4 linked regions of the Saccharomyces cerevisiae S288C genome follow. The protein of the gene in region 2 purifies or fractionates together with the protein of the main gene of each other region. This does not show direct contact. Each region holds a gene or a part of one and is shown on either strand. Other genes may lie near its edges.

Region 1 (11,330 bases), on a different chromosome or scaffold from region 2:
TATACATGTTATAAAGATATATTACAGCTAGGCTCTCTTTCTTTTGTTACGTCTTTGATAATACCCATTTTCATCCTTTTCATGCTTTCTCTTTTCCCTCGATCTCGCATGCTTTCTCAACTTTTTATCAGCAGAAATTTGTGGAGCGTTAACAGCCAGAATTGCCCTTTTAGATCTCCTTTCCTTTCTTCTTTCTAATACGGTCTGTTTGACAGCAGTGTATATTTTTGTAAAATCGGATACTTGCAATTTGTCTTCCAGTATTTTTAAACATTCGTTTGAAAGAGTGCGTAGTTCTTCCTGTTCTTCATCAACTGCTCTTGAGTAATATGTTTCTAAATAACCATATAGCGGCAATAATATCTTTTCCCCTTCTGCAATTACTTCGTCTTCGTCCAGAACTTGAACTAATAAGGCCAATAACTGAATACACGCCTTCTTCGACATAAAAGAATCCATACGATGTTCATCCGACCTGATAATACCACCAATTCGAGTTACCATATAATCAATGGCGGTAGTATATTTTAGATCCTCTCCAGTTTGTTTTGATACATCCATTATGAACGGCGTGCGTTGCTCCTTCCATAGGATACTGATATTAACTAATGTTTTTATTGAGACGTTCGCAAGATTCTCCGGAATAGAAGGCGCACCTAATTGGTGAAGAATTCTTGTTGCAATGGTTTGAATTTCCAGATTGGTTAATGATATCTCCAGCTTATCCTTATTGGCTATGAGTTGATGAACAAGATTTGCCGCCGATTGACGGACCCATGAGTGCGGATACAAGAGACATGTGATAATACCATCCCATATGTCTTTGAAACCATGTTTATAAACGCTCTCTGTTGCTTCCATATAAGATGAGAACGTATTTAAAGCTGAGTATACCAAATCCCACTGATGTTCTGATCCTACCGACGTATCGCTCAAAATGTACCTTATACGCTTGATGGCAAGCTCGTCTAGCTCAATAGTATGTTCAAACCCAATACTTTTCAAGTAGACCTTATAAGTTCTCAACCCAAGATTTAAAAAGGATGCATTATCAACCTGTTTTAGCCAAGCGGCTATATATTTTTCAACAATTTCAAGGTCCTTATTTTCAAGCTTTGGAAGCATGGTGGAAATCAATACTGAAGCCATCTCACGGCATCTTGGCGCATCATCATTAAAAGAAACATTAACTAGCGCCAGAAAGAAGGAAGATGATAATTTGGATAGTAAAGCAGGATTAGCCTTTGTAATAATCAAATTGATCAATTCCATTACGGACTGACGGCCGGACTCGGTAGGATACTGTAAATTGTCGACCATAAATTTGAACTGCTTTTCTAAACGACCCTTACTTTGGTCATATTCCATTAAAAATTGGTAGTAAACGCTCCTGGATACATCCCTAATTTCTTTTGAGTGGTTTGTGACCATGATTTCCCTAGTAGTATCCGCAATGTCATAGAGTTCTGGAAGCATGATATGTTTTGAAACAAGTGCTTTTAGGAAATTAAAAGCAAGGCCTTGTCTGCTTGGTTCATTTAAATCTGGTAAGACCCTCCCTAGAACATAACTCAAAGCAGTATCCTTTAATGTTGAATCTGTGTGACGTATAAAGGCAGAAAGAAACTTTAAACCCATTTGGCATAATTCGCTTGAAGTTGAAGGAGAAACCTTGATAATATTTAGTACCTTCCTCGCACAGTTTTTGAAGATTTCACTAGATTCATCGGAAAAATCTAGCCTAATTAATGTAATCAGGATACGTAAAGTACTAATTACCACACCTTCATTTTCCGAAAGTAACGAATCTCTCAAAAATGGAATAAAACCCTCTAGGTGCGAGACAGTTAAAAAGGAGCGGTGTCTCGTTATTACGTTCCTAAGTAAGTCTAAAGCAAATTTTTGTAAAGTGCTGTTCAAAAGCAAACTGTTTGAGTTGATGGTATAAGATTTCGACTCCAAATTTACCAAGAAAAAGTCTTCTTTTTCATCTACTTGGTCTTTCACTTTTTTCTTTGGTATTTGAGGGGAATTACTCATTTCTGATTCCTGGAAAAGCTGATGGCAGAACTTGAGGATACTTTCTGACTCAGAGTCACTATTATGATTTAAACCCAACAAATATCGTCTCAATAATTCACTCAGTTTGTTTTGATTTCTTAGATTAATTCTGACCATCAACAAAGCCTTCACAGGAGAGAGTAATGTTCCAAATTCTGTCAGGCTGATGTTTGAGGCGAGAATTTCACCAGCATCATAGCTTTTATTACTCTTAATTTCTTTCACTTTTGTATGATAATTCTCAGAGTCTTTTTCTTCACCAGCGAACCCAAAGATATTTTCCATTATAATCTTAACAATCATACTGGACGAGGTATCCAAATCGGAGTGTTTTAAGACTCCGTGCATACTCTTTAATATGTAGTGGACAGTGTAACTTAACACATGAATTTGAGAACCACGTTTTAATGTAGCCATTAATTCCTTTATCACAAAGACAAGATACTCAGCGCCCAAGATAATACTGATTTTACCCAAGGTTACTCTTACTGCATCTCTTAATTCTTCGGATTTACTTCTCAAAACTTGGCAAATATTTGTTAGAATACTAGGGAGGAAATTAGTAATATCATCATTTGTGAGCCCTAAAACAATATTAACTAATGCCTCCGCAATAGGCATTCTTTCAATTATAGTTTCGTCATCTCTAGTGCCAAGAATTTTCGAAAGAGTCGGATACAATTCTTGCTTAATAAAATTACTGGGTTCATCTAAGTTGGAAGGAAATTTGCTCAAAGTAAGTTTCGACTCAGCCCCATCTCTTACGATACGAAGAGTTTCTCTAAGTGGAACAGAAAGTTGAACAATTAATTGTACGGCTTGCTTCATTTGGTTAGGCTTGGTTTTCAACATAGAAATGTACCTTCTAAGAAGAGCTTTGTATTGATTCCAACTCATGTGCTGCGCCAACCCTCCGATGGCTATTTGGGTCTCATTTCCAATATTTCTGTATCTTTCATCATCCGAAAAGACATAATGTTCGATCATTGGAATTAAATAATGGGATATACTGTTATCTTTGAGTTGATGAGCATGTTCACCTAGTCTTTTAATGGCTCTCTGACGACGATGAAGCTGAATATGATTAACGTTTGTAAAAAAATCTGCTTCTTCATCACCATTGTACAGTAAAATGGCCATATCTTCGAAGTCGGTGAAATATTTCGTGTTTTTTACCATATATGATAGCACTGATACATACTCACTTTGTACCTCTTCTAGGGAGTCTCTGAGGCCAATCCTTATATTGGGTAAAAGTATATCCTTCAGCATAGAAATCGATTTTGAAGCTTCATTAAGATTAGGCTTTTCGTTAATGAAGTCAATAAACTTCATTATAGCGTGGGATGCGTTTGTTCTTAACGCAAGTTCTTCCTTATTATTGATAAAATGTAAAAAGGTGAACAACAGAGGTAACCACTCTAACTCACTGTAGGACTTATAACCATCTTCAATTAACCCCTTGAAAGTTGATAAAATTCTAGGAAAATCATATTCATGCATACGTGATGAGGAGTATGAATTCAAGTCCGCAACCAATTTCGAAATACTTTCTAATTCAGGAACTTTTCTACCGAGTTCTATGAAGAGCTCTGTCAAGGAAACCCTGAGGTTTCGCTCGTCAAATGTTTTGAACAAAGAAGATATGGTAGTGTATAGTTCTTCAATATCACTCCAAGAACAATTGTAGTTGAAAACTATCAGCTTTAATATTTTCAAAATTTTTTGGGTATCATTTTCCTGCAGTTTTTTTAGCTTTCCTTTTAATATTGATATTAATGAACTAATTAAACGACTTCTAACATGATCATCTTGAATAAATCCCATCTCAGTGATACTAACTAGCAAATTCAAAAATGTGGAAATCGAGTTTGAGTCAGAAAGTTTGACATATAGCGAAGGAAGTATTTTCAGACATGATGTGCAGATGAGAGTCACCAAATCTACGTAGTGATCATCATTTACTGGATTTCTAATAATTGAGTCCGCCGCTTCAATTATTGGGCCAATAACAGCTTCCTTAACGTGTTGGTTTGATATGGTGTCCATCAATGCAGTGGCAGTTGCAAATTCATCGTAATACAAAAACTGGTACAGAGATGGATTGTGTGCCCAATAAAGGAAAAGTCTTAGTAAAGAGGAGGGTTGTTGTAAGTTTTCATCCGAAAAATGTGAAATACGAGGCTTAACTACAACGGCGTAAATATCTTCCATAGAAGTAGACCAATCAAATGTATTTCCAACAAATTCAAAGACACTACTTAAACATTTTAGACCTTGTTGCCTTAAATTACTTGCCATCTTTCTTAAATGTACCTCCTCTGTGCTCTCAGTATCTAAGACATAGTATGCCATAGCAATTGAATAGATCAACGGCTGCAGCACTGAATTAGTATGCAAAGGAAAATTTGTTCTTAATACAGACAGAGTAGAATTTACAATGTTAACGAAACCAGTCATCCGTCTGATAGTTTTCAAGGTAGCCTTTGAGCTATTTATTTGATGGCTGTTCCCAAAAAAATAATTATAATCCAGCCTTTCACTAGCCAAACTCAAAAAATCATTAATATATGGCTTCTTAAAATTTGGCAAAACTGAAATGACAGCTATTTTGCGGCTTCTTTTCTGTCCACTAGTTGGGGGGACTTGTGCTCGACCGAAGAAAATTCTAAGGACATAAGGCATGACTACCTTTTCGTCCTCAGCCTTGATAGACTGCGACCCATTTTCGGTTAAAAAAGTCGTAATCTCGTCCTTGAATAAGGTGTCATCTAGTAGATTTTTCAAATTATCTCTATATTTATTCAACGTTGGATTTTTGTATGCAAGAAGTGCGTCCAACGCAAGCTTCTGAACGTCTGTATTACGGCTACCCAACAGTACCATCAGATGATCGTGCAATTCTGTTGCACTATAAACATTCTTTATATTTTTGAACTTGCTTAAAGTCTTTAAAAACACGTTTCTATCAACTTCTGTCCATGAACCAGTAATAACACGTTCATTTTCCATATCCTCTTCATCTTTGTAAGTCTTGAAGTCATTATAAACAAAAGGTGCGATGTCGACGAAGTGATTTTCAGCAACTTGAGGAATCGATAGCATAACTTTTAGAGCCTGATTTCTAATTAAAATTGGGTAGGTGGTGTTCCCCCTTCTTTCAATAGTAGTAGATATAATGCTCGTATTTTGAGTAGAATACTTTGACCAAATATGTGAGAACGTATCAATAGTGTCCCTTAACCTCACTACACTCGAATCCCACAGAACTTTGTTTGCACCATCTTCAAGAAGAGGCTGGTAGTAATCCAAATTTTGATTTTCATCAGGAAGTTTAATGAATGATAGCACAAGTTTCCAAACGAGGGCTTCATCTTTTGTGTAAACATTAGGAAGAGTGTCAAAAACACCAGTCCAAACTGGAGAGAATCTAACGGTAAGAAGGCCAAATAAGTATTTGAGAAAGAAAGAGGATACTAGCTTGTCTGTTTTGGTTTTTCCGAATTCGGCACCAACATTCTTGATTCTAATGGTTAAATCTCTGGCATTTTGTAGTGTAAGAGGTATTTCCTCGATAACCATACATGAAGAAAGGAGGTCAGGTACTTGCATACCCTGCAAAATCATTAATGTCTTCATTAATTCTAAAGTTTCATAACGAATCTTCCCATCAGGCAACATAAAATTATCTGTCAAGCTAAGGAGTAGACTTGGATAGTGTGACATTAGTCCTTTTAAGCTTTCTGAAGGATGAAGATTACTCACTAACTTGTTCCATCCTCTTAAAAAGTTTAAACTTTCTTTATAGTTTTCGTAATTATCCAGAATAGTCTTTAATAGATTATTCCCTGAAGCGTCGTCTTCTTTACGATATATTTTTAAGAGTGTACCGACCATATCTTTCGTAAAATTATCTGGTGATGCAAAAGTTGAAAAGATACGTTCAAGCAATGGGATAATAATTTCTGTATTCTGTAATTTCGAATATTTAAAAATTATAGCTCGCCAATATATTTCGAAAAGGTCATTCGAATCATTAATTTCTGCTGTGACAAAAAAATCTCTGATAGATAAAATAAATTCTTCTGGGAAATTTACTTCCCGTACTTTCTGCAGTTCAGGCTTATCATCTACTTCTAGAAAAAAAAGTGCAATTTTTTTTCCTTGTGATTGCCAATTTTTCTTTAAAAATAACTGTAGGAATTTTAATCCATTGAATGAAAATACTCTTTCATAGCTTAGCCTTAAAGCAAATTGAAAGAATTCAAGGAAACAGTCAGATATATTTGTTAAAGCGTAGTTAAAAAGTTTTTGGTGGAATAATGTTAAAGTTTTCACGTCACTGTTACGAATAAATAAAGCAAATAGGAAAGCCACTTTATCCTGTGAAAGCGAAGCACAATTTTCACTTTGACTCATTATTCTTTCAATTAGGATAGTAATTTTATTCCAATCAGGAATTTTTCTACCACTTTCCGAGAAGACAATTGTTGTCAATACTTTTAATATTCTATCGATATTGGTGGCATCGAGAGAATCGTTAAAATCCTGATACATAACTTCATAGACTGGAAGTAAACTTTCGATTGAGGCGTACTTACTAATGTTCATCCAAATATCTGAGAGCAATGAAACAGATCTTTCCGGGGATGATTTGGTCAAAGCTTCATGCAAAAGAACGCTCATGATAGCTTTAGCTTTCGAATGCAGAGTTTCTTGCGTTGACGTCATGGATTCTGTGAATAATATCAGAAGCCCTTCGTAGAGGTTAGTTTGCTCATCATCTCCCTCTAACTTTTCAAAAACTGATCTAACAAACTCGCGCAAGTTAGAAACAGGACACTTTCTTACTAAAAAAGATAATGCTTCTGCTGAAAATCTTGAAAGATATTCCTTAGAATGAGACAATAGTGGAATTAAAAGATCACATGTGAGTACCAGTTTTTTAACCAAAAATTTCGAGAGATACTTGAAAATATAAGCCAAACAGTTGAAACCCCACTCAAAAACATTAGATGACTCAAATTCTATAGCAGCGTCTAACAGATTTATTAAAGTTTTGATAGCTTCTTCATAAAATTTAAGAAAATCTGGACCTAAATCATGACAAAATTGAGCCAAGAGGTCCAGAAGCGGTTGCAAAGAAAACTCATCGTGAAAGTTAATGAATGAAACCAAAGAATTAAAAATCTTTTTATCATGATATAGTATTTGGGGTAATGTTTGAACATCATGCTCAATTTCCGCTGCAAACTCCGTAAATTTGGCACTTAAATTAATTTCTTTCCACTGATCAAAGGAAGCGAGAAAATGCGACGACTCGACATAATCATGTACCCTTTTTTCCAAATTTCTAGCCGGTTCAATCTTCAAATCGTCAATCCTAGCCTTGAAGGAAGAATATCTATATCGCTTAGACGATTTAGTAGTTTGTCTTTGTTTAGCCATACTTTCAATGAAATATGTGTAACTGATACTAGAAATATACCAATACGGCCAACAACGTAAAACTGGATGTAAACAGGAAAGAATATGATCTTTAATTTACAACCTACACTACCTGTTTAATCGGTGGTTTTTACGCTACCAAATTTAATAATGCAACTTTTCAATGCTCATCGGTAAAAATTTTCGGAAAGACATAAACTCAAAATTTTTTCTTTACAAAAGTCCGGGTGACATTACATACATACGCCTTCAAAACACTACCTTAGAAAATGAAGCGAGAGGTACATTTCATTAGCTTTAAATGAGCCAGGAAGAAATACACTGCAGCCGATATAACTCATATAGCATACTTTTAACGGGTGATAAGTCGTTACGAAGAAGGCCAAGTTCTATGCCAATCTTTTAATAAAACATAAACGTGATGCTTTTACCACGTATTCCATTGACTTTACGTACTCTTATTACTGTCCAAAAAATAACGACAACTGCAGGACTCGAACCTGCGCGGGCAAAGCCCAAAAGATTTCTAATCTTTCGCCTTAACCACTCGGCCAAGTTGCCTCGTTTTACATGATATCATAACTTACCAGAATAAATAAACCGTCATTATGAATTATCTATAAATATCAAACATGTATGAAACTGGGAATTCTGATAAATTTTGTCATAACTGTTGGGATTCCTGAGAAATGGGGGAATGTTGAGATAATTGTTGGGATTCCATTGTTGATAAAGGCTATAATATTAGGTATACAGAATATACTAGAAGTTCTCCTCAAGGATATAGGAATCCTCAAAATGGAATCTATATTTCTACATACTAATATTACGATTATTCCTCATTCCGTTTTATATGTTTCATTATCCTATTACATTATCAATCCTTGCACTTCAGCTTCCTCTAACTTCGATGACAGCTTCTCATAACTTATGTCATCATCTTAACACCGTATATGATAATATATTGATAATATAACTATTAGTTGATAGACGATAGTGGATTTTTATTCCAACATACCACCCATAATGTAATAGATCTAATGAATCCATTTGTTTGTTAATAGTTTGAATGTTTTTATCGGAAGAGGTTTGGTCATTACGTCTGCAATATTCTTTTTGGTTTCGATATAGCATACGTGCAGATGATTTCCTGATACTTCATCTCTCAGTCTCATTGCTTTAGTACCAAAAAATCTGTTTCTAAATTTCTCTTCATTATTGGATATAATTATACTGATTGTAGATTTACTGTCGGTTAGTAATCCTTTGGTAATTGGTTTCTTGTCGAGTTCTTGTATCAGGTAACTTAGATTATTTAATAATGGGACAGATTCACTTATTGCGTGTATTTCTGCTTCCGTGGTTGAAGTACATGTTAATGAAGCCTTGGTGGACTTTCCTCCAATTACTTTTCCATTAAGTAAATATATGTTGCCAATTTGTGATTTATAATACGGTTGGTTACCATACGAGGCATCGCTTATAACAACTAATTTATTTGTTGGCTTAACAGGTTTGCTTTTGTGCCATATTAATTGCTTATCTCTCGTATTCCATATGAACTGTATCAATTCATATGTCATATCTAACACTTGCTTGGACGGAAATAGTATATGTTGTGCAAGTGTGTTGATGTAGTATAATAGGTCAAATCTAAATTTATATCCAACATATGATGCTAGACCTATCAGCTTTTGCATTTCATGTACCTTCATTTTGTAATCATCTTCTTCTAGCTCTAGTTCTTGCTGGTCTATATATAGACCTGGTTGACCTGGAGCGCTAAGTTTCCTTCCTTTTGGGTTCAAAGGTACGTTTAGTTTGGGTATTTTTTCAGTTAATGAGTTTTCCATACCCAATTTCATGTATTTACCTCTTTGGTATTTGATTTCCAAGCCAAGAATGTCATATTGAATTTCCTCATCACTTTCGCCTAGATTTATAATCTTGGTGTCGTATTGCATCTTAAGCTTGTCTATAATTCTTTTGTTTGAATTTAGATTTTTGCTAAACAATACCATATCATCTACGAATAAACAAATTGTCACTTGACTGTTTTTAAATACGCATGACCATCCACGAACTTCTTCCATACCACATTGTTTTATCAGGTATGATTTGATAGTTTCGTACCAGTTCGCTCCACTTTGTTTCAATCCATAAAGTGATTTCTTCAAACGTATCAACTTATCATTCATTCCTAAATGTGGTGGAGGTCTTATGTATAATTCTTCTTTGATGTCTGCATACAAATATGCCGAAGATATGTCTAATTGTGTAATATGGTAGTTATTGTCTAATGCAAGTGACAGGGATGTCATTAATGCATAGTGATGTACGGTATTGGATTGCATGCCTGAGTCGTAAGTGTCAGGATGCTGAATATCACCTCTTGCAACAAATCTAGCTTTATGAGTACCGTCACGTTTCCTGTTGAAGATAAACATTGAATTTATTACTCTTTTAGGGTCTATTTCTTTTCTGTCATAATATTTGTCAGTGTCCCAAGTTTTCATCTTCAACAGTTGATTGACTTCTTTGTGGTATGCCTCGATATATTTTTCTTTTTCTTTAATATCTTTATTATAGGTGATTGCCTCATCGTATCGTAAGGTTGTTCGTATTGGTTTGATTGATTTTACTGCTTTTACAGCTGCAATCAGGTGAATTCGTTTCTTCGATCTCGGAGGTTCTAAACTACGCATATTCTTAGTATTCCATGTGTCTCGTGATACCTTAATTTCAGTTTCATTATCTTCTAATGATCTTTTCTTACTGTTGATAGTAGTATAGGCATTAGAGTCACCAATACCACCCAAACTGGAATTAGTTTGACGAGAATTGATCGGTGGAAGTTCCTTAAAGGAGTCTGATAATTCGGTAGGAGGTTCTGGAGGCAGATCGGGAAGTGGAAGATCAGCAATTATAGATTCCTCTGTATTCTCCTTAGGACAGGTATCTGACGTTTTGATAGGAACGACGTGGTGTAGTGAATTACTTTCTGATGAGGAAGTATCGATCGAAGGTGAACGGTGTATAATCCTTTTCTCAGTCTCCTGTTCGCTTGTCTGCGGAACAGTTTTATTATTGGTACCACCCGTACTGGATATTGGTACGTTTGTATGATTAGTCTCATTGTCACTGTACGAGTCTGAGTGTCTGAAATCTTTAGATTTACTGGCGTACGACGACTCATGTGTGTTAGATTGGGACATGGGAGCAAGTAAAGGAACATCTAATCTATGCATACCACCCGAATCGGTACTCTCGATATCGGAAATTTGGGGGGTGCTAGATCTCTTCTTAGATGGAAGAATATTAGATTCAGATATGTTGGGGTCAACTTCTCTGGGTGCGCGAATATTGGTTTTAGAAACACGTTTCGAATCTTCAGTATGAGTTGACGGGGGTGTGGAATCGGTTGGACTCACAGCTTTTGAAAGGACATTTCTCGGTTGCTCAGGATATAGTTCAATATCAGATTGAAAGTCATGGTCTGATTCTATGTTAAGATCATTGGATTGTTGGATCTCATTTGACGCAATGAACGATTGATATGAAGCAGTTAAACGGTTTAAGTCTTCATCGAAAGTGAGTGCGTCGTAATTGAATTGATCTAATCTGGATTCCTTGCCCTGAAGAATAACATAGTTAGTTGTATCTACTGTCTTCTTTAAGGATGGAAGATAGATGATATATCCATAAGAGTTTCGAGACGGATGTAGAGCGTAGCCTGGGATGCCACGAGGATGTATTTTGGAGTTAGGGTTGTGATCATTGACGATAACAGGTTGACCGAAAGGTAACAAAGTACTGATATC
Region 2 (7,117 bases):
TCCTACAATTAATTTATGCTATAGTTTTTTAAATAGTATTTTCGCAGAAGAATCCATAACTGCAAGCTTACGTTTAACTAAAATTTCTGTGATAGGAAGTAGCTGGCTGAATTTATTCTCATGTCAAAGAAAAAAAAGTATGCATAGAAATATCACTTTATAAGGAACGTTTCGGATTAAATTATATAATATTTAAGAAAATTGATAAAATAATATGACAGAAGGAAGAAACCAAAATTAAAAAGATTAATCTTGGGTCTTTTGAGAACCACGTAGTAAACCGGTTCTTCTGGCAGCAATCAAACCAGCCTTTTGACCAGAAACGGCACCTCTAGAGATAGTAGAAGCCTTACCAATATGTTGATGGTTACCACCACCGTGAGGGTGATCAACTGGATTCATGGCAACACCACGGGTCTTTGGCCAAGAGTTTCTCTTCAATCTGTACTTGTGGAAAGCACGACCAGCCTTCAACAATGGTTTGTCAACTCTACCACCACCGGCAATGACACCGATGACACCTCTGGCGTCAGAAGAGATAACCTTCTTGGCACCGGATGGTAATCTGACTCTGGTTTTGTTTTCATCTGGGTTGTGACCAATGATGATAACGTAGTTACCAGAAGCTCTGGCTAGGGCACCTCTGTCACCTGGCTTTTCTTCAACGTTGGAGACAATGGTACCTTCTGGGACAGAACCCAATGGCAAGACGTTACCGACGTTCAAAGAAGCCTTTTTACCAGCGTAAATGAATTGACCAGTGTGAACACCTTCGTTAGCAATGAAGATTTCTTCACGTAATCTGTACTTGTATGGGTCACGGAAAACAACCTTGGCCAATGGAGCACCTCTACCGGAGTCGTGGACAATTTGCTTAACGATACCACGGATGTAACCATGACGTTCAGCATAGTCCAAAGTTCTCAACTTGGCAGCACCTTGTCTTAATCTGGTGTGAGAGGTGAAGATAGAACCAGCACCCTTTCTTTGGTTACGAATAACTCTACCTGTTTAAATGAGGAAAAAAATTCTCGATCCTGTTAGTAAATATTTCTCGAAAGTTTTTTCATTATCAAAATATGGCAAAGTAAAAGGCCGCATTCAAAGCGACAGAACCCTGTTGTCATGATACAAAATAGTAGGAAAGGCTTATTCTCATACTTTGATAGCCAACGTCATTCATAAGTGTAATATGTCAATTTCAATAAGTCCCGATATAGCATTTAAAAGACCCTGATAGTAATCGTTTCGAAGACGAACATCAAAAAAGCTTTCTTGTCCGCTGCTATGTTGCCTTGTAATATGCAGAAGGATACTGAAAATAAAATGTACCGATTCAAAACATCTAAGTCATAGAGGAATCCTTCATAACATTTGCCATAATTATGCGATATAATAAAAACATACCCATTGTTCAATAACTTTGTGGTTTCTTGGTGAGTTTATGACAAATAGTAGATTTATCAATAGTAACTCAATCTTTTAAAATATGTATATCTACTTTTGTCAAGTATGAAAGATTATTGAAACCTGTAGCATGCACAGCATAGTTTCCAGAGCAGAATCCACCAGGAGTGTTCCCGCCTGGAGGGAAATCTCCACCCATCCAGCAGAGCGTTCAGGCTGGGAACTGCTTAGTATCCAACATTACTCGTAGGCGGTAGACTGGGACGACCTCTCTGTCCAGCCTCTCCTTTGAGAATTCCTTCTTTTTCTCCCTAGCGGGTTGGCGATTTCGAATAAAATTTTCGTGCAAAAAAATTGATTGCAATTGCTTGGGTTTTTGTATAGTGTACTGTCTGGGTTTGTAAAATAATGTATGGGTTCTAGTCTGAAAACTTGGTAATCGGTATAATGTATATGTATAACTTTGACTGTCAGATTGAATTAAATGTAGAAAAGATATTTGTATTTCCTCCTAAGGAGAAGAGAAATAAAATGATAAAAGCTTCTCTTTACGTTCTCATTTGTGGTCTATTTAGTGCATAAAAATTTAGACAGTTTCTTAGGCGAGTTGTTTGTGAGTTCATGGAATCACAATTGATCTAGCGACGGGATTTCTTTTTGCCATTAAATTTACCACTCCTCTCGCCTCCACTGATACGAGCAATATCTCTTTTGGATACAATCAGTCCATTCCTCGTCGATCTGCCTACACTACTGATCTTCAAACCACGTTCCCTTTTGGTAGCTTTTTCTTTATCCCTGGCCTTAATGCTTCCCCCGATACGCCTCTCGATATCTTTCTTGTATGTAGATTCAATTTTTCTGAATTGTCCCTTTTTCACTTTGGATAGAACAATTCCACCTTCTGCAGCTTCTTGTTCGTATTTTTTGATTCTCTTGACGTGCTTGTCGATCATTCCTCTTCTAATATGCATGGGTACTTTTTCCAGCTTATTTATTTTGTCCTGATGACCATTCACCCTTGAGAGTCTATTCAGTCTCATTTCGAGTGTACGCGATCTGGCCTTCCCAATAACTTGATCATCCTGGTATACTATGCCATCATCATTTCCACCACCCATACTCTGTAGAGTCAACGATACACCACTGTTTGTAGAACCACTTCCACCGTTATTGAAAGCGCTCAATAAGTGAGACTCTCTCAGAAATTGCTGCAACTCCAGGTCGTTTTGTAAATTTTCCGCCTCCAAAGTCTCATCTTCTTTTTCTTCCTTGGCTTCAGTACTCTCCAATTTTTTGTTTATTTGAGTTAAAGTTTTGCCGCTTCTCAAAAGTTTCTGTGTCTTCTTACTTGGAGGAACATAAACGTCACTAGGCCCGTTGAATCTAATGACCTTTGGTTGAGTTTTCGGTTTGGAATCTTGATTATTTTCTTCCGCGGTTTCGTTACCGCTATCTTCATCAGAAGAATTAGAACTTTCTATAGTACCATCCTTGAAATCACTACCATGATCGGAATTGTCAATTTCATCACCTGAACTGTCTCTGGTATCTACTTCAGTTCGTATATTTTTTGTTTTATCTTCGAACCCCATGGACTCTAAAGATCCGAACTGACTTTCAAAAGCTTTTCTTTGAAGCTCCATTTGTTTTATATAGTCGTCATCATCAAGGGTCATCTTTTTATGGCTTTTGGGTCATTTGTACTCTCAATATTGTTATAACTGTTCCTGCCATCGTTAATGTATACTCATCTCATCGCTCAAAATTTTTCTAGGAACGGAACGGTCGCATGAGACGAATGACGAAAATTCAGCACAGGGTCCATTGCCAAGATTGAGCCATGTCTAGTGTGCAGAGTCATACGGAATAATTTGAGAATCCTCGCCTGCAAATTCACAATATCTTCGAAACTGCGCATAAGAAGGCTGGGGGTATATACTAGAAAAAAATGACGAAGTTTATTGGTTGTATAGACCTGCATAATGGAGAGGTTAAACAGATTGTAGGTGGAACGTTAACGAGCAAAAAGGAGGACGTTCCAAAAACTAACTTTGTATCACAACATCCTTCTTCATATTACGCTAAACTTTACAAAGACAGAGATGTCCAAGGATGTCATGTTATTAAGTTGGGACCTAACAATGACGACGCTGCACGCGAGGCACTCCAGGAGTCACCACAATTTCTACAAGTGGGCGGAGGAATTAATGATACGAACTGTTTGGAATGGTTAAAATGGGCCAGTAAAGTAATTGTTACGAGTTGGCTATTTACAAAAGAGGGTCATTTTCAATTAAAAAGGTTAGAAAGACTGACAGAACTATGTGGGAAAGACCGCATTGTTGTAGACTTAAGCTGTAGAAAAACCCAGGACGGTCGTTGGATTGTGGCCATGAACAAATGGCAAACTCTAACTGATCTTGAGCTTAATGCTGACACTTTCAGAGAATTGAGGAAATATACAAATGAGTTTCTAATTCACGCTGCAGACGTTGAAGGTTTGTGTGGTGGTATCGATGAATTATTGGTTTCTAAGCTTTTCGAATGGACCAAAGATTACGATGATTTGAAAATCGTTTATGCTGGTGGGGCCAAAAGTGTTGATGATTTGAAATTAGTAGACGAACTAAGTCACGGAAAAGTAGATTTGACATTCGGTAGTTCCTTAGATATATTTGGTGGTAACCTAGTTAAGTTTGAAGACTGCTGTAGATGGAATGAAAAGCAAGGTTAGCCCTTCCTTTCATTTTTTCATTTTCTTTTTTCTTTTTTGTTTGCTTCGTACTTTAGATTATAATACTTATAATACTAATCATAATGATACATACATGCATATAAAGCTTTTTTTCTCTTATTATTTTCGGTTCGTTCACTTGTTTTTTTTCCTCTATTACGCCCACTTGAGAACTACCAAGCATTATCATACCCTCCTGATCCAGTATTACCCATTTGAGATGCATTGGAGTAAGGATCTTGCTCAGCGCCCGTCATCATTACGTCTTCGTTACTTCCCAGCATATTTGAAGCGGTGTTGTTATCACCCGATGCAAAATTAACTTTGTCTTGATCCATCTGTGTCAGAGCTAACAATATTGAGGCAACCTTTTTCTGTAATGTATCGATACCTCTGACGACAACTTGATCAACGGGAATAGACCCCACAGATTCTACATTCATATAAAATGTATCTGCCTGAGCCTTATAATCGAAGGGGTCACCTTCGTTTGGAGGATCTTCGTATTCACAATTTTTAGACTGAGGCCATTCTTTGGCAGAATCCTGTTCATACCAGTAATCGGTATGTTTGAGCTTATTCCAAGGATCATACTCGAACTCTATGGCTGCTGCTGGACCCCACTTGGCGTGCTCTTTGGCTATACCCTTTTTCGCAACGCATGTCAGTTTCAATTCTTGACCTTTTCTCAATTTACAAATAAGAACACCGTTACCTTCTTTATCTTGTATAATAGGATGCCCAATATTACGGCCCATGAGATTAGACACAATTACCAAGTCCTTGCTGTAGACGTTTGTAGTACTTTCGCTTTCGCCGAACGCTTGCAATGTTAACACCACTGAACACTTATCACAGTGGTCCTCACAAAAACAATCACGACTGTATTCTAGTTGTTCGATATCCATACTTTGTAGAGGTATTAAACCTAATCTGTGTGCAATAAATTCATCGGCCAAAACCGTAGTATTTGTTTCGACTTCGACTGAATCAATGGCTAAAGTGGGAATCTCTGCTATCATGACTCTACGGAGAGAATTGGCCATAGCCAAATCCACATTGGATAGTATAAAGTCGACGTTATCTTTACTAGCTTCTCTTATTTTAACTTGAGGACCTTCTTCACTCATTTTTCAATATTGTTTTAGTTTTTCAACGCTGGTACGAAGCCTTTGCACCTGATATAAAAAGTGTCTCCCTTTTCCACAGAACAGCCAACGCACTTACGATGTATATGCACACACACAGCTTATTTTTTACCACTTCAATTAGTTTATTTTTCATTTTTTTCCACTTTGCTTCCCGAAAGCCAAACTTGGTCATTGCGAACGAGTTGCGAAGCTTGTCCGTCAAGAAGTATTAGTTATAGTACTATTAGTACAGATGATACTATATAAGGTATATCGTGTCGTATGTTCAAATATATTGGGATATGATTTCCTTTTTTCTCTCTTCCTATTTGATGCAGTATTCCAAAAGAAAAAGTGGGGATCGAAGGTGAGACATAACGGAGTTATTTACAAGCGGAATAGGAAGGAAAAGGAAAAGAAAACAAAAGAGTACATCGAAACCAATCAGGTGAATTGTCTAGAACCCCCGCGCACAAACTCCAAGATCTTCCACCCTTCTGTTTCGTCATCGTCGATTTGCTCTGGGTCTCTGGTGAAAACCATGGCATAAGAGCTCATCAAGATATTAGCTTCGTCACCAGCCGCAATCTCGCCAGTTTTCTTTTTCCTGTAAAGGTTGATTTCTTGTGCTCTACACCCGACCACCAAGACTGGGATGTCTTGGGGAGCCAATAACTTTGCACTCACTATTTCAACGCCCCTGATATCTAGGATACGGCCATCGGCGTAAACATCCTGTTCTTTGAAGATTTTCTGTTGGGCGGCGTAAACATTGAATGGCGCCTCGCTGAACCATTTTTTGAGAACTTTGACATCGCCTTTCACATACGCTTCGAGAATCTCGGGAACAATGTATTCTCTTAAGTGTCTGGTGAAGCTTTCGTTCGAAAAGGTTGGGTCCATTAGCTTAAATTGACTGTAAACACGGGAGGATTCTGTTTCTGCAAAGAAACCGCCCACTTTGTTGGTTATTTTCCTCATGACAACAATTAAGGGGTTTTCACTTTCATCCCACAATTTGTTCTTTAAAGATTGTATAGAACGGCCAACCACGGTTTTCTCCTTGAAATCCTCCACTTTCTTACCAAACGATTCTTTAGACTCGATATTTGTCGCAACCACTGCTGTTCCTGCATCTTCATTGCTCTTTACTGCCCTGTGTCTTTTCCCAGAGGCCAGGTCTCTCTCACGTTTAAGTCTCCTTTGCTCTTTCGTGATAAACCCACCGTATCGGGAACTCTCCCCATCGTCAATGACTTCTGAGACTTCCTTGTAAATCTTCGTCTGTCTCACTGGCTCAAAACTCTCATCCAGCTTCTTCGCCGTGGCGGCAGCCGCCTTTCTTGTGTTCTTACCGAGTTCGGACTCCCAGGCCTTAGTGGCTATATGTTCCATGGTCTCACCGGTCTTTTTCAGAGTTTTACCCACAATTGTGGAGCCTCTCTGAGCTTTCAAATATGCTTCCCTAGCCTTTTTGTAGGCCTCAGACTCGCCTAACTTTCCCGAAGCATCTTGCAGCGTCTTTATGTTCTCCTGCAGTTCCTGAGACTTCTCCCATTCCTTCTTGAATGTATCGCGGAAAATCTGGAGTGGTGATCGAGGGTTTCCACCTTGCGCACGGGTCGTAGAGGTGGAGAATAATACTCGGGCAACGAGTAATCCTGTGTACTGCGATCTGTACCTTGCGGTTAGTGTCCTAGAGCTCGTGCCGGACGTCCTGATAAAAGTGGATCTGTGCATGAACTGAAATAGCAATTGCTGCGGTAGTGAAAAATTCAGGAATAAAAAAACGAAACACTATAAGCTCGGTCCTGCCCTCTTATCCCAACTTTTGCTTACTTGC
Region 3 (6,645 bases), on a different chromosome or scaffold from region 2:
TCGTATCATACTGAAAATTCCAAAACTGCTTAAAATCCTTGTTCCAGCAAGCTACCAAAATAGTACTAATCAACAAGGAAGGAACAATGTATAATAAAGCCGGTTGAGCAGTATTGAAAATGGACAAGGAGACCATGGCAGATACCAAAGAAGCAACGTAACTAACCATAGCAGTAATAAAATATTTTCCAACGTATGACCAGTTCAAAAAGTGGAATTCAGTGTCATCATGATCAAGGTGCCACTTCCAGATGTCATATTTGTAGCACATCGCAATAAACATACCAGGCAAGGCAATATCACCCAGACCAAGTATTGAAAAATTGAAGTTGTTTTGAGCTGTATTAAACTTGACTGGTAAGCTTAGTTTTACGGGAATATCAAGGTTAGTAGCTACTGTAACCATTACATCGGTACCAAAGACAAAGCAAATGTCGTAAAAAAATAGAGCAATTAGGATTAGGGCCCCTGATTTTAAATTCTTCAATTTTAATTGAGCAATGGACCAAATAGCCATATTCATACTGACAGCATTGGATATTAACCAATCATTGGGTGATAAATAGAAATATACGGTAGAAACGATGGACAGAACGAACGAAACAATTAATGCGCTATTCAAATACATGTTGCTGATCTGCCTCTTCGATTTAATATCCTTCGGTTCAACTAATTCTCTTCTGTAAAAATGCTTCATCCAATGATCTTTTTCAATCTCATCCAATGTTTTCTTGTGAACAACTGAGTTGGTCAATCCATCTTTGTAATTCAAATTGGTAACAAACCCGCCTATCTTGTTCAGGTCTTCGTTATCATCAGCTATTGTTACACGATACCTTGGTAAAACAACCAGGGGATTCCAAGAAGCTAAATGTGATAGGTTTCTGAAAAGTGAGTTGAGAAAGTAGGAGTAGACAAATGTGCCAGCTGGGATATTTAGCAGTGTTATATTAAAATTCAAAATTTTCACCACATATTTTAGCCAGTTTAGGTGTAGTTTCTTGATCACAAAATAGAGAGCGAGTAAAGTACAGCCACTAGTTAAGGGCAGTATAATCGCATGTTTTTCATCCATCATATCGAAAAACCTCTTGCTTTTCTTCTTTTTCTTTTTATCTTCGTCATTCTCGCGGTAGATAACATGACAGTCGTGGTCCACATCAAAATCTGTAGGATCAAACAATGAGTGTTCTCTCGTAGGAGGTAGAGCTGTAAATGGAATAGAAGAAATAGACGTAAATGAGCCAATAACGACCAAAGCACTTGCGATGAGAACTAAAGTGGCGTAGTTGAATACTAAAGAATGGCTTTCCACCAAGTGTGTAATCTTGTGAGCAACGCGATATGATATCTTATCAAAGGCAGTGGTTAATTTGTTATTGTGGTTTTCAACTATAGCATTGATCTGTTCAAAAACTTGTTCTAATTCCTTGTTCGACGCACTTTGGTTAGCGCTTGATGAATTGTTCCTAAAGGCACGAGATGACCACTCTGAAAGGTGGTCAACAAATGAATTCAAATACTTGTCCATCGTGTATGAGTTTGTTCCCCATTATAGATCTGTAGTATTGCTCAAAAAGGGAGCACTTTACAAATCTTGTCCTAAATACTCCCATTCGGAGAGGGGTTCTTTTTTTTCCGGTGCCTCAAAATCCTTTTTTTTTTGATGGCGCAAAAGACACTTAAGAAAAGTGAATACTTTTTATAAACGTAATCCTATAAAACATGAAAAGAAGGATTACGGAACGTCTGCCTGATTCACTTATATATACTATATAGATGGTAAAAATCTAACGTTTCCGTTGTTTCTTCCATTTAAATGAAATTTTTCCTGAAGAGTCTACGATTTTTTTCTTGGAACCCTTCTTCAACAATTCTCTTTGAGCATCCATTCTTTGTTGGACCTGTTTCAATTGAGTTTCCCTCTGTAAGTGCTGCTTGACTTGCTTGAACTTTTTCAATTTCTTTTTGTCTAATGATTCCTTTGGCATTATTGATGAAGCGTTCCTATTGTTTGAAATATCTTGGGCTAATTGGTCCTTAGTTAATCTATTTTCAGATCTATTCACCATCTCGGAGGTGGTATTGAAAAACTTCTCTGGGGTGAATTCGTTCATCTTCTCTCGGGAATCGACGAATATTGTATGATTCCCACTGCTTTTGAACATCAACTGTTTCGCTCCTTTCTCCAGCTTTTTCAGCTCTATTTGCCTCAGCGTCCTCACATAATTACTATCTTGCGTTTTGAGTAATTTAACTTGATCCATGGAAAGCGATTCGTCTTCTTCGTCACCGTGACGTGAGCTGATCAGCAGTCCTTTTGCATCTGTCTTCCTTGAATGCATAGCATGGTAGTATTCATCTGGATTTCTCTCTTTTGCTTTTTCTCTGAGGACTTTCAAAGTGGACTGCTTCCTGTGGAAGTCTTGAGCACGTTTCACATAGTCTTTATGCTTTTCTAAAAACCCATATCTGGAACGGCTAGTTAGCTGAGAACGTTCTCTATGCTGCTTTTTCTGAACATCATGTACAAGTTTAGCCATATCTTTTGTCTGTTGTTGGCTGTAACGAACTAGAAAACCCCACTAGTATTATTCGATGATATGCAACTTGCTCTTATTGTAGTTTCTTAGCATTGTTTTCTTTACTCTTTTTCTTCAAATCGCGATGAGCTCATCTAGCCATAAAAAAATTTCATCTTTTACGTGCATAACGACAAACCTTTAAGCCTTAGAGGACTTGGTGATGTGCTCCTTTATAACAACGATTACTTCCATTGAACAGCAACACCTGCAAAATCGGAGCTGCAAAATTATTGATTGGATGTGGCAAAAATAGGAATGGGCGATCATAATCTGCCGGATTTTCAGACATGTTTGAAGTTTTCTGTTACAGCTAAAAAGAGCTTTCTATGTATGTATAGAGACAGCGTCTCAAAGGAAAAATTAGCCTCTTCGATGCCAAGTACTTGTGATATACAACTGAAGAGGGCAATCAATGACGCTTATCCGGGCGGAGGAATAAAGGTCACGGTTCTGAACTCAACAACTGCAAGCTTGGACTCGTTAGCAACTACACATGTTAAGGAATTTGAGATTGTTATCATTCCAGACATAAATTCTCTTTTACAGCCAGACCAAGCGAAATTAGTAAAAATTATGAGAGATTGCACAGTGGCGATTGAGAAGGCACAGTCAACACGTATATTTATAGGAGTGGTTCATTGGAATAATCCCGTGCAGCCTTCAGGCGCCGCTAAGGATGGGGATGAAGCAGGTAAACCAGCTCCCAAAACTCGCATCTTCCTGCCCACGTCTTTCCGTATGGGCGCTTGGCTCAAACACAAATTCTGGTTTGCATGTGCACCCCCATATTTGGATTTTGAAAGTTCAACTGAGTCTAGCATTAATACAAGAGCCAATAATAGCATTGGTATGGCTGAGGAAGAGAAGCAGGAGCCAGAGAGCAAGAGGTCGATCATATTAAATGAAGAGGCAAATCTGAACGATGTATTTGTGGGGTCCACTGTAAGACGGTATATTCTCGATATCATGGTCCATTTGCGAACGCATAGATTGACGTATAACGCCAAAGCCGGCGGGGTATATACAAATTCATTGGACGACGTGGTGTTATTGTCTAGATTAATTGGTCTACATAGCGGCAAGATGTTTGTGTCACCTTCACATGTCAAAGAGGCGTCCAGGTGGTACTTCCCCATGCACTTGGAATTGGTTCAGCGTTCCTCCATGGATAGTTCCTTATTGTACGGTAGCGACCCCAACTTGGTGGACGAAATGCTAGAGAAACTTGCGAAGATTAAGTGTGAGGAGGTTAATGAGTTTGAGAATCCCCTTTTCCTGGAATCTCTCGTAGTGAAAAACGTACTAAGTAAAGTCGTGCCGCCCGTGTAAGTTTATTATGTATTTCGAGCATGCATCTGGAACCTATGTTTACATACGTACAAACGGTATTTAAAAGTTTCTATTCTTAGCGTCAATTGCCCTTTATCGTTTTGTTAACCAATTGTTGTTTTTATTCATTATGCCATGACCCGAAAAATGAGCAAAATCGGTCAAAGTAAATAGCTAAATATTTGGTCTAAAAAGTAAGAGAGAAATGAAAATGGCAAGGCTTAACTACTTTGCAATAGTGTATATAGACATTACCAATTGAGTCCAGCAACGAAAGATTCCGCTTGCACTTGGTCAATCATTTACTGACCATAATACGAAGTAATAGAGATGCTACTAAAAGATGACCATGCGATTACAATTTACAATAGACAATTAAGCGCAAGGACAATCAGTATGCATTCCATTTCTAATAGACAAGGTGCTATGAGTGAATTGCTAGCCTCCCCTTTTTATTTTGTGCGGTCACCGCAAGGGACAAAGCTTTTCTTAGAAAACCGTCTGAGAAGCATAACGTACGCCATCCCCTAGACATATTAATAATGCTACAGATACTATGCTGCTCGTCTTTTTTTGACGACCCTTTTATTGCAATGTGCAACTAATGGCAAACAACCACATAGTATCACAGTATTACATTGCCTCCACCGATGCGGATGTTAGGGCGCCAAGTCTGTCATGAAGCATGTTCCTGTCATAATCTTGTATGCAAAATACCGCGTTCTGCGCCACTGATATGCTAGGCAGCAGCAACCTATGCAGAAGATTGCTTTTCCCACGCCTGTTTTACGTCTCCAGGGCACTTGAAACAATGCAGCGATCGCCGCCACAACACGCCAAAGAGAAGCGAAAGTGGGCCTGGGCGGCCTCAGTTTCGGCAGAGGTAAACAACACGAACTGAACTGCCTTAGCTCCGAAGGGCAATTCCACAGGCACTCCGCGGGGCCCGGCCAAGGCCCAAAAGGCGTGGAATATGCGCGTTTTGGGGCCATAACACCCAGTACCACGGCCGGAACGGGCCATATAATAAGTTTTTCACTCTCAAGAATGGTAAACGTAAATAGGAACATCCCACTACCCTAGAAATTGCGGAAATTTCGCGCTTATCATTAGAAAATCTGGAACCGTCCTTTTTCCTCTTTCTTGCATTTCCCTTTCCGTATTATTGCCATTCTTTAACTGCATTTGGGGAACCGTAGACCAAAAGCCAAACAGAGAAATGTAACGTTCTAAAAAAAAAACAACGAAAAAATTGAAAAATAAGATACAATAATCGTATATAAATCAGGCTTCTTGTTCATCATTTTCAATTCTCTTCTTGCCATCCCTTTTCCTATCTTTGTTCTTTTCTTCTCATAATCAAGAATAAATAACTTCATCACATTCGCTACACACTAACAAGAAAAAAAATGCAATTCTCTACTGTCGCTTCCGTTGCTTTCGTCGCTTTGGCTAACTTTGTTGCCGCTGAATCCGCTGCCGCCATTTCTCAAATCACTGACGGTCAAATCCAAGCTACTACCACTGCTACCACCGAAGCTACCACCACTGCTGCCCCATCTTCCACCGTTGAAACTGTTTCTCCATCCAGCACCGAAACTATCTCTCAACAAACTGAAAATGGTGCTGCTAAGGCCGCTGTCGGTATGGGTGCCGGTGCTCTAGCTGCTGCTGCTATGTTGTTATAAGAAATCTCTGATTTTTTATAATATCTATATGGCTTTTTTCAAAATTTTCGGTTTTACTAGGTAAGTGTTTGATTCTTTTCTTTTCGTTAATATATTTTTACACATAATTTTAAATAATTTTTGTTATTTTGAATAGGTAGATACCATAAAAATAAAACACTTTTTACTTTAACGATGTTCCTGTGATTTCTCTTCGAATGAGTCAAAAATTTGAACTCGAAATGAATGTATTAGAGACTGGGTTTCTTCGAGTTTGCTGAGATCTTGGCTATGCACAATGTTTCCTGCGCCCCTAAGGTGAAAAAAACATGCATGCTTGTTTCAACAGACCAGTGTGCATAAAGAATTTCGCCCTTAGCTGCGATTAAAGAGTCAAGGCGTGAAAAACATAGGCGAAAGTGCTGACCGTTCTTCCCTTTATCTTTTTACCATCTTCGTTATCTGTTACCTGTTCAAAAGAAAGTGGGAAAGATATTGGTGTGCTACGGTGGGATCTTTTTTTTCTGCCATTTTCTATACTTTACTTCCACTTATAAAATATTTTACAAATTCAAGGGAGACGTGTGACAAAATAATAATCTAGAACTCAATGAACTTTTGTCCTCACTACAATTGCCCCTCGGATGGATTTGAACTTACAAGAAATATCACGTTGGCGCGCGCTAAAGTCGCTTGCCAATGCGCTATGAAATTTTCATGACCTGGCACATTTTAGCACAGTGCCATTAATCCCTTTATTATGGGCATTGATGCGACTTTAAAACTGTACCTTCCTTCGCACATGCTGAATTTTCTTAATGAGATTCATCTACGATGCTTTAGAGCTAGCCTTGTTTTCTTTTTTATGCTTCAAGAGTAAGTAGTGAAGAACCCCACTAGACAAATACTAAGGGATGCTGCAACCACGTCTTATACTTCACCCATACATAACATTGGAATCTCATTAATTTTTGCAAAGATATGGTGAACAAGTTTCAAAATAAGAATGTATGTGTACCGAATCGTAGCTCGAGGTAATAATGAAAAAAAAAATCGGACATCTG
Region 4 (7,875 bases), on a different chromosome or scaffold from region 2:
GTCATTATCTCACAATATAAGCACTCTAACCAAACGAGAGCCACGCTCCCAAAACCTGTTACACAGAATGGAGGTGTACGTTAAAAAAGATGAGATATCTTCCTTAGAATGTGAATACCATGATCATTTAGAAAACCTGTTATTGATGGACAAAGTTTTATCAAATCTAGCGGCTACAGCAACGGGACTGATTACAACTGTCAAAGCTGCCGCACTATCATCAGATAGGAAAAATCCTTTAGTATATAATTTATTGACAGACCGATCGCTAATTTCTTCTTCTTTACCAAGGTTTAAAAAAAAGGACGGCGAGATAGACTCACCAGCCAACATGTTTGATGATCACGCATGGTATGAATTGCCTTCCCAACAGGTAAATGCAGCTCCTTCTAACTCAGATGCAGTTTTAGTGACAACTGTTCTCAAAAAGGGCGTCCATATCAAAACTTATGACTATAAGACGCTGACTCAATTCAACTCAATTGGGCTTCCAAAGAAGTTTCACGTACCTGAGAAAGGAGCAAAACCCTCGAGCAATAGTCCAAAACTAGATATCAACAAATTTAAATCCATCATCGATCAGAGCTTTAAAAGATCTTTGGATTTGCATGACTACATAAAAAGGATTAATGGAAAAATAGCTACAATTATTGTGATAGGTGATTATGAAGGCATTGCAATTCTTACCTATGAAGGCTCGGAGGAAAATTCCTTTGTTTATCTCGATAAGTTCGCCGTTCTACCACACTTGAAAGGCTCGCTGGGTATATCTGATATAATCTTCAATTTGATGTTCAAAAAATTTCCTAATGAGATACTTTGGAGAAGCAGAAAAGACAATGTGGTGAACAAGTGGTATTTTCAACGTAGCGTTGCTGTGCTAGATTTGTCGATTGACTTAGACCCCGAACACTGTGATGAAAAGCAAAGCCAATTTAAACTATTTTACTACGGTAACCCTCAATACGCTAAGAGGGCACTACGTGACAAGAAACGTTTAAGAGAATTCATGAGGTCTGTCAGGGACATCAAGCCAAGTTGGGAAAATGAAAAAAATATTTCATGAAACAAAGACGCATTCTCCTCCTCCTTAACTTTCAAGTTTTCATTTTCAGTTTTTAAGGTATCTATATAAATATATATATCTTACTATGCAAAGTTGTTGATATTTCACTTTACCCTACCAAATGGAGTTAATTACTCCAAAGTGATCCCGAACGAAGTTCCACTCTTGATCCAATGTCTCCTTTCTATATCTTCTTCTAATCATCGGAACGTTGTGCTTTATCGAGGTATCTTTCGCTGTATCGTACCAATTATCTATCCCACCCACGTTCTCCTCAAAGTAAGGCGCCTTTTTAACTCCAACGCCAATCCAATGAGCCTTGTACCAACCTTCATAGCCACTAGATAGCACACTTGTTCTCGACAACTCGCACAAATCTGTTGGGTTCAGCAAGTAAATACTTGCTGCTACACTGTATTCTTCAATGAGAGGTTCTAGCGTGTATGAACTATTGTAAAGAATCGATTTTGATGATAAAGAAATTTTTAGTCCCATCTTAAACATTTTCATGAAAGGATTTGTCTCATATGATCTTTGTTCGCCCACAGTGATATCTCTAGAAGGATTGATTTTGGCTGTTTCCTGGTCTTTCAAATAATCATGTTCTAGAAGCACGTTTTTATTCTTCAAAAAGGTCGATTTTTGCGAATTCAGTAATGAAACAGATGATAATGGCGCAGCTAAAATGGGTATTTGAAAGAGATAAAATAAATATTGAATCATTGTTGCAGTATCCCAAAGCGGTTCTACCTGTAGCAGACCACCATTACAAAGCAGTAAGTTGCACACTAACGATTCAACTTGATCTGTAAAATATAAATCCACTCCAAATTGGGAAGTTCTGCTGGATAGTGGAGAACAATAATTTCTTAGGGTGATTGTATTTTGAAGATTTTGTGACCGCAGAAAATTAACTTTCGCTAAACTTTTATAAATATAATACATGTAATGCGCAACAGTTGGATTGTCACCCTGTGCTGTCCAAAATTTTGGCTTACAATTCATATCAGTAAATTCTTTCCAGTAATATTCATCCGACTCTTTAATGACCAGATCCATAGAACACACATTTGATAAAAAAAACTGCAGACCAATGATATCAGTATTTACAGATGAATCTATTGGTAACTGCTCCTTTTCCAGAGTGAATAAAGGATTGAAGATAAGATCCAAAAACTCCTGGAAATTTGACACGACATTTTCCTTGAATAGTTTGGGAAAAATCCTGGCAATTTGTATATTCCAGCGGATATTATACGATACTAGCTTCCATCGTAGCAACCATTGAGAAAATTTCTTGTACCAGTCTTCACCACTGGAATAGAATTGAAAATTAACTGATACTTGGGCCAATTGGTACTTTGATTTTTCGAGGATATGAATAACGTATTTTATGAAAATTTCTGCTAGGTACTCACCTTCAATGAAATTATCAAACTCCAGAAACACTTTGGCTAATAGGTAAAACCTCATTTCTTTGCCGACCAACTTTGCTACTTTGTTAGGAGTTAGATGGTAATCTATTAGGTAAATATTTCTATACCAATCCAAGAATTCATCATCAATCAATTTCAACCCAATCGCAATGGGTTGGTCATTAGAAGAACAACCAAACTGAAAAATGTCTCTCAAACTGAGTTTCCTTGACGTTTCCGGGTCTTGATAAACTATCCTTTCAGGTTCTAAATTTATTTTCTCCCATATATATTCACTCAATTGACGTTGAGAAATACAACCACTTAAAGACAAGTCTCGATCTACCTTACGAGAATTATAAAAATCTCTGTAGGGAACATTTTTATTAGCTAAAATTTCTTTCTTAGAGTTTAGGTACTGAAACAATTCAAATTTATCTAATAAATAAGATAATCGCTTTCGTGAAACCTCGTTGAATTTATGAGATTGGATTAACTCTATTATGTATGCAAAATCATCCCTAAATTCTTGAAACGTAGGCACATCTGTTAAAAATTCTTCCTCTAGTGACTCCTCCTTACTAGAATAAGGTGAAAGTGGGTTTTGCGTATTTTCCTGATTACTTAAATGGTAAATGTATTGTTTTTTGTAATCCTCTAAATCGAAATATTCACCGGTGTATGGTACTTTTATATTTCCTTTTCCTTTCAAACCAGATTTTGTGTAGTAGTAGTAGTGATCGGTAAAGTAACTTGGGTAATAGTAGCCATGGCGGTGCGGTGTAGCGGCTCCGGTCCCAGTACTGTCTCCATCGTCATTTAAGTCAGAGTCAGAGGGATCTTGGAATCGTTTATCGTCTTCAAATCTCCAAAACTTTGGCAGTGGTTTTGGGTATAAAAACCACTTTTCAGTGTCATTTTTTATGTTTGAAATGCCATCTTGTTTGGAAGCAGCAATGTATCTTTTTCTCATTTGAGAAACCAATTCAAACGGATTAATGAAAAGATCTTTAGTTTCTTCACCCGTTTTCAGATTTGAGGGCGTGTACGATGAGACAAAGCTGTCACTTTCTCCATTTCCATAATGATGGGAAACTGAAGGAAGTGGATCAATTTTGTTTTCTTCGTCTTCAAGATCGAAAAACATAGGTGAACCTAAAACCATTTGCCTGTCAAATTCCGTGGGCAAAGAAATCATATCCATATCATCGACTGATATTTCCTTCTGTTTCAAAACAGATGGGGAGACATCACCGTCATTCTCTGACAAGACCCTGGCTTCTTTATTCTTCGTCTCATTAGGCTTAGTAACAGAATTTTGATATTCGTCAAAGAGTAACGAGGGCCTTCTCTCTACCGCCTGCATAATTCCCAGCGAGATGAATAAGTAAAGTGAGATTTAGATAACTCTTACAGAGGATATTGAGAGGACATTTTAATCAAATTCTTTAAACTCAATGTCCCCTTTTTTTCCATATATTATATTTAATTTCTCGGACAATTTTTCATTTCTGACTATAAATGACAGCAAGAAAAAAGTGGGCAGAATCATATTCAATTTCAAGTTTCTTCGCAATTTTTTTACAGTGATATTTTGTGTATGTATTTGTACATTGCTTTTAATATCTAAGTTTGTCTATAAATGGAAATTTAGTAGTGGTTTAATTTCCAGAGCCTCACTTTACCTTGTTCGTTACCCACGGCCAGTAGCCCACCAGATGGCGAAAATGCGACACTGGTAACTTTACCCAAAGGCGTCCCGCTGGTAGGCCAGTTGCTGAACACGCTACAAGAAGGCAGATGAACTAGTCTCAAAGCATCCTTGACTGCACGGGATGCCATGCACAGTATTTGACCATCAGGGGAAAATTGTAGATTAGAAATGGTAGTTGTTAGCTGGTCCAAGGCGGCGACAGGTGTAGGGGTCGACGAGGTCATAGCATTATTTCTATCGTAAAGATTAACAAATCCACTCTCACTACCTACCGCAAGCCACCTATTTTGCTTTATCTTACTTATTTGAAGAGCCGGACAAGTAGTTGTTGTCCCACCACCAACTTGGATTTTTGTTATACCCACGCCACCTTGGTCTTTCCATCTTCTTATAACATGGCCATTCTTATTCAAGTCAAATTCCCACACTTCACCATACGCGTTTACAGCAATTAAAATGGTCCTAAACTTACCACGTGAAATAGGTTGATAATCGATACAGAAATCCGTTATCACACCTTCTATCTTGCAGCCCATTAACCATAGTCCGGAAGTGGAATGTAAAATGTTAATCCAACCATTATTACCCTGTAAAAGGACAATTCCATGGACAGAATTTGTTTGTGAATTCTGCAAATGTGCAACTTTGAAATTCTCAAATGATCTTTGAGTGGACTCATGTCCATACAATCTGGAAAATTTTTCGATTTTGGCAGTCTGTGAATGAGTTAAATTTTCTAAGGATAAGTCCCAGGAATGCATATATCTTCTTCTACCGGCGGTGAATATATTTTGTTGATTTTGGTTTGATAGAGAAGTATAGAAAGTACATGTTTGTATTGGAGACCCAACCAGGTGCAAACTTGTCACTAGATGGTTCGTTTTCCCGTCAATATGATATATTCTTAAGGTCTTATCATACCCACCCGTTAACAGTAGAGGCTTAGAAGGATGGAATGAAAGAGATTGTATGGCGGAATGAGACGGGTGTGATGCATTTGCATCTTTAAGACGCACAATGTCAAGTTTCTTAGGGGGTAATAGTTTGGAATTCGATAAAGTGTCTTTATAATTGTAAGTAGTAGACAGGATCTTCGTTAGAGCATTAATATCTCCATTAATAACATTATTAGAGCCTTCTTCTTCATCGTCTTCTTCGTCATCTAATTCAGAATCAGATTCATCGTCCACCCATTTGGGCCTTGGATATATCTTTTCAAACTGAGATCTCAATCTGTTGATGTAATGAACACCGTTGATTTTGGACTCGTTATAGGAGGTTCTTAATTTCTTTGTCTTATTGGTAACAAGAATAGGCACTTTAATTTTTTCATCATCCGAATCTATCCAAGCAGCTTCTTCAGAGTCCTCAGAATAATCATCGCTTGAAGAGTCATCTTCGTCATCCACGTCCATGGTATCTTCATTCTTATCTTGACTATCTTCGTTACCACCATCGTCCACAAAAAATAACTGATCGTTGTTAACATGGTCTAATTCACCGTTCTGCGCTTCATCTTCTTCACTGTTATCTGATTCAGATCCCTCATCCTCCTGGTCTTCAACATCCATTTCTTGTTCATTGAAAATGAAATCGGCATTAAATTTAGCGAGATTTTCTTGTAAATCTGTTGTATCACCGAATACAAATTTGGCTAGTAACTGTTCTTCTTCATCTGGTGGAGGTACGCTAACATTCATTGCGGTTGTTGCCATTGTCATTGTCGCACTAATGTAGGCTGATATACACTTTCAAGAACGATACCACAACAGGACCAGAGTGATCGATGAGATGAGGTGAAATTTTTTTATTTTTCGTTTTTTTCATTTCATATTATTAAATTCGTCGGATGTGATGCCAATTAACCACATAATAGCAATAGTAATGGAAGTTACAGGTGACATAAAATCTACTGCGAATAACCTTTGAAAGGATAACTATGTTTGGCCATTTTTTTCTACGGACGTATATTTCACTAAATATGTACATAGAAAAGTCATAAAAATTACCATAATGAAATGCGATGCCTCTCAAATCAAACCCAAGTTTCGCGCATGAAATTCAGCATGTTCTGGAACGAAAGTGCTGACAAAGTAATAGGAGTGATCAAAGCCGTGAACTTTTTTTATTTCCACGTAGTCCTGCCATGAAGTGGCTTTCACCGCCTCAAGTAGTAATTCCGGTTTCAAGTGTTCTTCCAAAAAGGGATCGGAGTCTCCTACATGGATCAAAATTCTGTCGTCGCCCACATGTCTAATATTCTTGATTAATAAACATGGGTCGTACGCTTCCCACTGGGCTTTTTCTTCGCCCAGATAACCTTTAAACGCTTTTTGACCCCAGGGAACGTTGGAAGGGTTCACGATAGGGGCGAAGGCAGAACAAGATTTGTATCTCTTTCCGGAATAGCCCTTCAAATACCCACAAATTGCACCATATCCCCCCATCGAATGGCCTGTGATGGCAACATTGTCCAAGAAGTCCAGCTTTACGTCACCGTTCTTGTTAAAATGAGAATCTAATGTTTGTGGGAGTTCTTTGTGAATGTAGTCGTACATCTGGTAATGTTGGGCGTATGGTTCTTGGGTGGCATTTAGATAGAATCCGGCGCCCTGTCCAAAATCCCAGGAGCCCTCAGGATCATTGGCTACTTCGTCACCACGTGGGGACGTATCCGGAAAGACTATTGCAAATCCGTACTTGTCAGCTTGAAACTGCCAAAAAGCCTTCTCAGAGGCGTTGTCTGGCGTGCACGTCAAGCCAGAAAGGTAAAACACAGTTGGGATACGCTTATTTCTTGGAAAATCTTGGGCGTAATAGTGCTTAGGCAAATAGATATTGACGTTCATGCTGGTCTTGGTAGAGTTCGAGTTATGTGACAACTTGATCAATCTGCCACCACAGACACTAAATTCCTTAACAACCTTCATATTGAACTATGTGAATCGCTTATATGTATTTTATTGATGCTATATATTGTCAAAAATGTGTATTGATCTTTTGTGTGTGTGTGTGTGGATCTCCCCTTAGCAGTCGCATGTTTTCCACACGCGCAAGGTCATAATCGTGCGATATATACAAGGCATATTGTGTAAGATATGAGTAAAAAAAGGAAACGAAAATATGTCCTAATTGTCTTCGTCAACACTCACCACTTTATGCTTCACCTGGGGACTGGAACCCTTGGAGGTAGTGGTGGTAGTAATGTCTACCGTGCCATCGTCAAAGTAGATTTTTTCAGTTTTGACGGTGCTGGGTTTTGCATCATTGGAATCCTTCGTGGTACTAATGGACTGTGCCCTTCCAACAATTTTCTTGGATCCATCTGCAGAAGCATATTCAGCATCGTTGCCCAGATGCAAGTCGTCCCAATTCAACATGAGGTCTTCTGGAGTTCTAGCCAGAGGCTCTACGGCAGTGCTCCTAGTCTTGATTCTTTGTTTTTGTAGTCTATTCATGTGCGACCTCCACTTCAAAAAGAGGTTGAAATCATTGAAGAACAACCCATGAGAGTGCGACTTGTCAGATTTGATCTCCTCCAGAGGTAAGAGGAAGTCCAATTGTGGTAGAGGGGGGATAGCCTTACTTGGGACAAGACATTTCCAAATCCCTTGGGTGGTCCATGCAGACTGGCCCTTAAGTTCTTCGCACTTGTCAAACTGCTTCACCGTAGGGATTCC

Evidence for each region.
Region 1: the proteins of FAF1 (region 2) and UTP20 purify together in Saccharomyces cerevisiae (affinity purification with mass spectrometry; 2 studies listed by BioGRID). This does not show direct contact.
Region 3: the proteins of FAF1 (region 2) and UTP11 purify together in Saccharomyces cerevisiae (affinity purification with mass spectrometry, with the first as the bait; 2 studies listed by BioGRID). This does not show direct contact.
Region 4: the proteins of FAF1 (region 2) and UTP18 purify together in Saccharomyces cerevisiae (affinity purification with mass spectrometry, with the first as the bait; 2 studies listed by BioGRID). This does not show direct contact.

Annotation. Positions count from the first base shown.
Region 1 is NC_001134.8:223,815-235,144, reverse strand, and holds UTP20 (Utp20p), read right to left. Parts: upstream 7,510-11,330; coding exon 28-7,509; downstream 1-27. UniProt on the Saccharomyces cerevisiae protein: Involved in nucleolar processing of pre-18S ribosomal RNA and ribosome assembly.
Region 2 is NC_001141.2:311,062-318,178, reverse strand, and holds FAF1 (Faf1p), read right to left. Parts: upstream 3,087-7,117; coding exon 2,046-3,086; downstream 1-2,045. Other genes in the region: 60S ribosomal protein uL2 RPL2B, read right to left, coding at 247-1,007, 1,408-1,411; 1-(5-phosphoribosyl)-5- ((5-phosphoribosylamino)methylideneamino)imidazole-4-carboxamide isomerase HIS6, read left to right, coding at 3,359-4,144; DNA-directed RNA polymerase II core subunit RPB3, read right to left, coding at 4,318-5,274; protein translocase subunit TIM44, read right to left, coding at 5,719-7,014. UniProt on the Saccharomyces cerevisiae protein: Required for pre-rRNA processing and 40S ribosomal subunit assembly. Seems to act in the processing of 35S rRNA at the A(0), A(1), and A(2) cleavage sites.
Region 3 is NC_001143.9:253,930-260,574, forward strand, and holds UTP11 (rRNA-processing protein UTP11), read right to left. Parts: upstream 2,544-6,645; coding exon 1,791-2,543; downstream 1-1,790. Other genes in the region: YPF1 (aspartic endopeptidase), read right to left, coding at 1-1,531; MTC2 (Mtc2p), read left to right, coding at 2,841-3,914; YKL097C (uncharacterized protein), read right to left, coding at 4,574-4,984; YKL096C-B (uncharacterized protein), read right to left, coding at 5,144-5,293; CWP2 (Cwp2p), read left to right, coding at 5,324-5,602. UniProt on the Saccharomyces cerevisiae protein: Involved in nucleolar processing of pre-18S ribosomal RNA.
Region 4 is NC_001142.9:306,791-314,665, forward strand, and holds UTP18 (Utp18p), read right to left. Parts: upstream 5,917-7,875; coding exon 4,132-5,916; downstream 1-4,131. Other genes in the region: ARG2 (acetyl-CoA:L-glutamate N-acetyltransferase), read left to right, coding at 1-1,066; YJL070C (metallo-dependent hydrolase superfamily protein), read right to left, coding at 1,181-3,847; YJL068C (S-formylglutathione hydrolase), read right to left, coding at 6,226-7,125; MPM1 (Mpm1p), read right to left, coding at 7,324-7,875. UniProt on the Saccharomyces cerevisiae protein: Involved in nucleolar processing of pre-18S ribosomal RNA and ribosome assembly.